Linked DNA regions of Drosophila melanogaster. The protein of the gene in region 2 purifies or fractionates together with the protein of the main gene of each other region. This does not show direct contact. Each region holds a gene or a part of one and is shown on either strand. Other genes may lie near its edges.

Evidence for each region.
Region 1: the proteins of Obp19d (region 2) and Antdh purify together in Drosophila melanogaster (affinity purification with mass spectrometry, with the first as the bait; one large-scale study listed by BioGRID). This does not show direct contact.

What each region holds. Positions count from the first base shown.
Region 1 is NC_004354.4:11,167,510-11,171,312, forward strand, and holds Antdh (antennal dehydrogenase), read right to left. Parts: upstream 1,550-3,803; 5' UTR 1,521-1,549; coding exon 945-1,520; intron 866-944; coding exon 689-865; 3' UTR 521-688; downstream 1-520. Other genes in the region: CG1394 (uncharacterized protein), read right to left, coding at 2,497-3,000.
Region 2 is NC_004354.4:20,417,420-20,421,585, reverse strand, and holds Obp19d (Odorant-binding protein 19d), read right to left. Parts: upstream 1,974-4,166; 5' UTR 1,449-1,973; coding exon 1,301-1,448; intron 1,171-1,300; coding exon 1,082-1,170; intron 1,010-1,081; coding exon 873-1,009; intron 809-872; coding exon 730-808; 3' UTR 607-729; downstream 1-606. Other genes in the region: Obp19c (Odorant-binding protein 19c), read left to right, coding at 2,821-3,135, 3,202-3,414; Obp19b (Odorant-binding protein 19b), read right to left, coding at 3,915-3,999.

The DNA.
Region 1 (3,803 bases), 9.3 Mb from region 2:
TTTTTCCCAGTGCACAGGAAGCTGGAAGAAGCGGAACGCTCTAATGACTCGGTTTCCTCCTCGAATGAAGCTATTGCTCGAAGATGCCCAATTGCACATGACACTCTTTGACCACAGAGAATTCCATTTGTGCAGGATGGCTTGCTTGCCTTATTTTCCCATTTATTGCTCGCCTTTTCTGTGTCAAATTTCAATTGTGCTCTTTTTTGGCCAGCTAAAAAAAAAAAAAGAAAAAACAACAAAAATTGTCAATTAAAGCCATTAGGGCCATTGGCAATTAGTTGCCAGCCAGCCCCATTATGCGGAAAGTCATTTGCCATTGCTCGCATTTCCTATATAGTAAATACATACGTATATATGTTTACCATACTTTTTCACTTACGGCTGGATTTTCAATTTTCCGTTTACCCATGGAAATGCATTCCCATTTATTTATCGCATTCATTGCATGTGTTGTTACTGCTCAAGACAGGGAATTTCAATTTCAAATTTAAGTAAATTAAACCGACTTACTAAATTTAAATTTAAATAGTTTTATTGCAACGTGTATAGCTTAACTGTGAATATTAAACTGTCTACGAAAATTGTGTGAATATGGTGCTTCATATTTTCTGTCACGGCAAAAATATTAAGATGAAGAGGAAAAATACAAAAAAAAAAAAGAACAGAGCTCCTGAAGCTCCTCCGCCTACATGGTCTCGCCAAGTGGCTTGATGATCAGCTCGTGCACCTGGACATGTGGCGGTGTGGCGATGGCGTACAGCACTCCCTGTGCGATGTCCTCGGAGTGGAGCATTCGATCCTTGATGGCCTCCCTAATGCTGTCCGGCACGATCTCCGTGTCCACCACGCCCGGACTGACGCTCTACGTTGGCGGAAAAAGCCAAAAAGGGGTTAGAAAAATGTTCAATCCGAAGAAAGTGGAAAATGGAAAGCGAACCAACCGTAATCTTGATGCGGGTGCCCAGGCCGAAGAACTCCTGGCGATATCCTTCGGCCAGCGCTGTAACTGCATGCTTGCTGGGCGGATAGACGTTCACATCGGGCGCCACGCCCTCCGTGGCCGTCATGGTCTTGTGCCCCAGGATGCTATTGATGAGCACCACATGGCCGTCGAACTTGCGCTCCCGCATGGAACGCACCGCTCGCTGGGTGCACAGCACGATGCCCATGATGTTCGTCTGCAATACCTGCTGCATTACGGCCGGATTCATGTCCACCAGATAGCCGGGTTGCAGGGTGCCGGCATTGTTGACCAGCACATCGATGGCGCCCAACTTTTGGATGATCCAATCGAAGGCCTCGTTTACGGAACTCTCGTTGCCCACGTCGCAGTAGAGGGCAAAAAGTTTGCCGCGCTTCTCCGCCGGCAGCTCCCTCTGCAGCTCCTTGACGCGATCGACACGTCGGGCCAGACCCACCACCGTCATTCCGGCTAGGACCAGATCCTTGGCTATGGCCGATCCGATGCCCGAACTGGCGCCAGTGACGACGGCCACGCGATTCTGCCAGCGTTCCATGATTTTCGATTGCGATTTCAACGATGATTACTCGAATCTCGGCCAGAAGATCCACTTTATATATCGCTGCGATGGTTGCGTGCGCTCTCCAAACGAGTTCTAGCCTAGTACACTGAGAGAAAAGTTCGAGCCAAACAATAGAATAAATATATAATGACTTGGTAACATTACGATTATGCTAAATTCATGTAATTTTAGTATAAATCATCGAATCTTTTTTTAAGAATAATTTCCCAATGGGCATACCCATTTTTTTGTAAGTGCATCTCGTTAGCGTGTTGAGAAATTGCCATCTCATCACTGTGACAATCAGCCACGCCCTGTGATACGACAAAAGGGGCGGCAGGCGTTGTATTTGCATAGTTAGAAACGATGAAACTTGTATTGTTTTTTGTACTTTACAATGCGAATCTCAAGAACATATATTTATACGAAGTGCTCAAGATAATCATACGGTGGAAAATTGGGTCTATTAATCTTATAAATGGTTTGCACCTAGTTATTTAAATTTGATTTGTTTAAACTAAATAGAAAAATCGAAATATTTACAATGTAAGCTTGATTTGTGCTTTAATTATTTGTATAAAAAATAAAACTTCAATATTTGACTGCCGAGTGAAAATAACAATAGTAACCTTTGCCATACATCACATTTTGCCTATTTAGTAATTAGCATATAAAATATATGCGATTTGAGTTTACAACGCTCTTCTCACATTCAATTTGCCGCACGTTAACTCATCTCTGTATTTATTAATGCAATTAACCCACCCACCGATTTGTGCCAACTGATTATTTTCATATCTTATGGATTTATGACATTTATTTTATACATTTTCGCCAAGTACGAGTCGTTTGAGCTGCACAAAACGGACGTTTGGTTCGAAAACTAATTGTGTATGTATATGGCCCATATGCGATTCACTTTAGTCGTTCGGTGAAGATGCTCGTGCTGTCATTGTTCGTGGCATCGATCCTACCAGAAGCCACCCTTGGATGCACTGCCTCCGCCGTAGTTCATGCTCATGTCCATGCCGTTGTAGGCGCAGAAGGCTTCGCCATTGTCGATGCACGGTTCATTTCGTCCGGGTATGTCTCCATATATTGAACGGTCCACGGGTGGCGGCACTATATGCTGGGCTCCTGTAATGGGCATGCCACACGACATGGCACCCGGCATGGCACCCGGCATGGCACCCGACATGGCACCCGGCATGACGCCCGGCATGGCACCCGGCATGGCAGCCGGCATGCCACCGGCTCCTCCGGCGTATGGTAGCATGGAGTGTGCCTGAGCTGCGCCCTGGCTAGGCCAACCTCCTAGTCCGCCGGCTGATCCTAATCCTGGTGCTGCTGCTGTTGCTGATAGTGGTGGTGGAGCGGCTGCTCCAGCGGCAGAGTGCTGCATGAAGTCACCCATCTGCGGATAAACGGGAGCATTCAACGGCTGGCCATTCCAGTACGAAAACGAATTCGACATATTGTGAGTTGCGGTTGAGTAAATCCTAAATACAAATAATTTGGGAAAGTGGTGAAAAAGAAACAGTTTTTCTTTCGATTTTTTTTTTTTTGACCAAATAAAAGTTGTACAAAATTTTGCTCCGCTGAACGGTGTTTACTGTTTGGGATCTAAAATATAACTGATAATCTGGAGCTCCGGCTGGGGTACCTCGATTTTTCGGCTTGACATTTAATTTCATGGATATGTTGATTGGAAATTTTTGGAAATTTTTTTTCGACCGATTGCAGTTGGCCATGAAAATACATACGATATTAAATTGATTGTTTTACCTTGGCACATATTTTAGGTTTAGCTCTTCCATAAAATGCCTAAGAGTAAATATATTTTCTAAATATTTTGAATAGCAAATTATAAGTTACCATAGTATATATGTACATCATCGTAAAATATTTGATTTATTAACCTGACATAAGATTGTTCATAAAGGTTTTTGTGCTTCTAATTCAGGTCATTCCGTGTTATTTAGCATACAATTTTATATTGTGATAAATGACATTTCTTTTTATTTTCATTTCATCTTTTTGCTCTTGAGTCTTGATTCCTATTTCTATGATTTTTTTTTTTTGGTTTAGCCTTGTCGGAAAATGGGGGCGGTGGGCGACCGAGGGGCGTGGCATGGCCAGCGTTGTGTTTAATTTTTGAAAAAGGACGCCAACTGTCGTGATGCAGCACAGATGATAATGACGAAGACGCGGCAACAAACGTTTATTTACACACTGGGTATTAAATGGGTATTAAAGACTTGGTACCATAAAATAGAA
Region 2 (4,166 bases):
ACCTGTGTTTAATCAGGCTATTTGCGCGATCTTTTAATGGCTGTTTTCAAAACATGTAGAGATCAGCCATGCAGATCGCGTATGACCTGTGCACCTCATCTAGCTACTAACTAATAGGTTTAATGACCATAGCCCAAGACCCTGAGAATTCGCCTTGCGTAGACGGACCGCAATCGGAGCCGCCGTCTTCTCGACACGAATTCCCTGGGCTTGGGCAGCATACTATACTAGGAGCCCAAGTTGAGCAAATAGATATTTTTACCGACAGATTGCGTTAAGTCGGCTAAGCTAGGACATATTTAGGGGAGCCGAGAGCGAACGCGCATCCCTGGCTGGGTCCCTTCTCCGCAGGATATCACCTGGAGAAACCCAGGTACGAAGAACATCGTGCATTAATAAATAGTGAGTAAGAATCTTTTAAATATGCCCCAGATTGGGAGATGATATACAAAAAAATGTACTTGTATTTATAATAATAAAGATTGTAATATAATCGTCGAAATTGAGCAAGAATTTTTTATTAGTAAATTATGGGTCCCGAGGAGTCTTGGAGGATAACCACACCCATACGAATCCCCCTTCACAATCCAACAAACAATCAAGCCTGCAGTTTCTCAGTTTATCAAGTACTTAATTCATAGTATACACATAAAAAAAAAAGATGGTTATATTCCAGAAGGGCGCTTGTGATACAGTAACGGGGGGTCGTCATGGGTCTCAAATCTGTTCTCAGTGCTCCTCCAGCTCGAGTCCATGCTCCTTCATTTGCTCGTAAATGCATTCCTCGTAGGCGAAGGCAGCGTCGCAACTGAAAATGGCAGCATGATTATAGTCCGGATTTGAGCCAACAGCTTCCGGCGAGCACTACTCACTGATCCTCGGGTGTCTCGATGGCCTCGCACTTGGCCACCACCTCGGCGGGAGCGTCTTCCTTCTCTGCATCGTGCTTGCTCATGACCTTGACCAACTCGATGGCGTGTTCCTTGTTCAGCTTACCGGATTCATCCATCTGCAATGGGAGGGAGAATGGAATGGGTGGTGGTGAGTGGATCACACTTCCTGCCGGAGCAGCAGCACTCACTATCTGCAGCTTTTTCATCACGCAGGCGCGCAGGCACTTGGCCTCGTGTCTCTCGGGCAGGTCGTGGCTCATCAGCTGCTCCACATCCTCTGTAAGCGATATATCATATGATTGATAATTGCACAATAACTATCCTAACACATCCACCACAGGTAGGAGTGGTACGCTGACAGCTGTATTCCCTACTGAATTTTCTGCACTGATGACCATCTGACTCACCATCGGTGGCTCCCGTCTCAGCCTTGCACTCGTTGGCCAGCTCGGCGGCGTGGTCCCTGTTGATCTCCTCGTGCGGCTTGGCGCTGGTGGCGCCCAGGCAGAGGATGCCCACTAGGAGCAGGACGGTCAGGTGAACCAGATGCGACATTTCGATTTGCGATTGAACTGCGCGACGTGCGAACTCTGACTTGGATGCGAATCGCCGGCAACGTCGGCGTTTTATAGGAGCTATTGCCTAAGCCGAGTCCCGTGATTGATTTGGCAGATCGGATCCATCGCCGATCTCCAGCTGCGTCTCAAGCAGCTCCGGCAATTACGCGCAATTATGAACTACATGGGCAGCACATGGCACATGGCACTCCACTTCACTCCGCCGCTCTGGACGGGATGGGACGGAATCCGGCGGAGATGCCCTCGACTGGGCATCGTGTGAACGAGTGACACCCCGCTGGAACTGCCGCTGCCAGATGAGATGGCCCACCGATCTCCACTTACCTGCTTAATTGGTGACTGGCATGAAATCGCTGCAAATGCCGGGGATATAGAATTGGGAATGGCTATGGCTAGTGGAAATGGAAATGAAAATGCAAAATGCTAAATGCAAAATGAGAGATGAGAAATCCCGCTTGTAATTAAATCGATCAACAGCTCTGGGTGAGATGAGTGATTGTGACTGGCGGGGCCATCGAGCGATTATACAATTATATGGAACTGGGCGAACTGGGAACTGCGGTTGCCGCCTGCCAAATTGGCCGTTTAGGCCATAATATACCCTTCATCTGTCCGCCTATTTCCCAGTTTGCCCGTCAGCCTGCCGACTTTCTGATCATTCCGAGTGCCAACGATCGCTATCTGAGTTCCATCCAGTCAGTCTGTTTGTCCATCCATCGAGTGGAGATTTTAGCACGCAATCTATATTATTGTGGAATCCAATAGATGGAATCGGATTGCATCGTGTGAGCATGTTGCATGCTAATTTTTATTCCAATTGGATTGAGTGGGGCTTACTAGCCCCATTAAGATCTTTAACAGGTCGGAAGTCTGTGTGATCGAGTATTATACATATATGTACATGGTAAATCATCCAACAAATAAGTCCGATTGATAATATATGTATATATCTAAATAATTCGGTTGCGAGCAAATGGCTTACTTTCATTTTAATTAACATTGATATTTTCAAATGTATTATTCCAAAAATGAATATACCTTACAAACCTTGGTACTTTGATAGACCTATCAGGTTTCCAGATTGAAGATCTACATTAATCCGATATTGTCATTGTCTCGAGTGAACTGACACATCGCTGGATAGCGTTGGCGATGTCAAATATCGTCTTTGGAGCGTGACTTGTGCGGGTGACGAACTTGGGTGATGAACTTGGCACTGGAGAAATGCTTGCAATCAGCAAAATCAAGCGACGATGCCATGTGCAGACGACTATGGTGTGAGGTCATGGGTCAGCTTATAAGCCAAGGGGCCAAGCAAGAGCAGAGCCAAAGAGAAAGCAGCTGCCAAGATGAAGCCATCCACTCCAGTCGCAGCCATTCCGCTAATGACGATAGTGGTCGCTGTCCTGCTGCAGACGCACTGCGTCCGTGGCCAGACCCAGGCTTTCGATCTCGCCAAGCTGCTGCCCAAGACCGGAACGGAGCCCATCTGGGCGGTAATCGATCGCAACTTGCCGCAGGTGCAGGAGCTGGTCACCGCGGCCAGGATGGAGTGCATCCAGAAGCTGCAGCTGCCCAGGGACCAGCGACCGCTGGGGAAGGTGACCAATCCAAGTGAGAAGGAGAAGTGCCTGGTGGAGTGCGTGCTCAAGAAGATCAAGTTGGTGAGTAGCCGGACGTTTGTCACAACCAGAACTAAAAGGTCACTAATACTTCTCATTCGCACCCAGATGGACGCCGACAACAAGCTGAACGTTGGCCAGGTGGAGAAGCTGACCAGCCTGGTGACCCAGGACAACAAGATGGCCATCGCCGTTAGCTCCAGCATGGCGCAGGCCTGCAGCCGCGGCATCTCCTCGAAGAACCCCTGCGAGGTGGCCCACCTCTTCAACCAGTGCATCAGTCGCCAGCTGGAGCGCAACAACGTAAAGCTGGTCTGGTAGAGGACATCTCCGCGCCATGGACACCACCACCAACTACCACTTGAGATCTTAACTACGAGTAGAAAGAAGGTGTCTCGCATATTTTGGCCATAATCTTAGCTACAATGATTTCTCAGATAATTTTAACCGAAAATGCACAATCTATTAGGCAATATAATTATATATTAAATACTAGTTATACGATTTTCTAGTACTAGATCAAGTTTTAGTTGCTCACTCGCAATTGATTTGAATAAATCTATATATACAGTAATTTATTTCCCATTTTTGCACAATAAAAAACACAATCTTTCGCAGTTCCAACTACGGGATTACGTACTACATATGTGATTCCCACCCGATAAATATGCATAATTCGTAACTTGTTGGTTGGGCGCTTTATTAGTTTGGGAAACCACTCCAAGTTCTCTAGCTTTGGTAATTAAATCGAACTGAATCACTAACAAAAAAAAAAGGGAGGGAGAACATGCAATGGTGGGCCAGCGAGCAGCTCCATGGCCTCATTCCTTGATCTCGGGAATCTTGAAGCCCGAAGAGCGCATCTCGCGCAGCATGCACATAGCGATCCCGTGGGCTGCCTCGCACCTGAAAAAAAACCAAAAACAAATAAGATCCTTTTCAGAAATACTTTAAAAATATTTCAAACAATTTTTAAAGCTTTTGGGAGCACAGTTGCCTGGCCACCTATAAAAGGTATTCCAAAATATTGAAACTCTCTTCCTGAGAAGAAGTGTACGAAAAGGTTCTTCAAA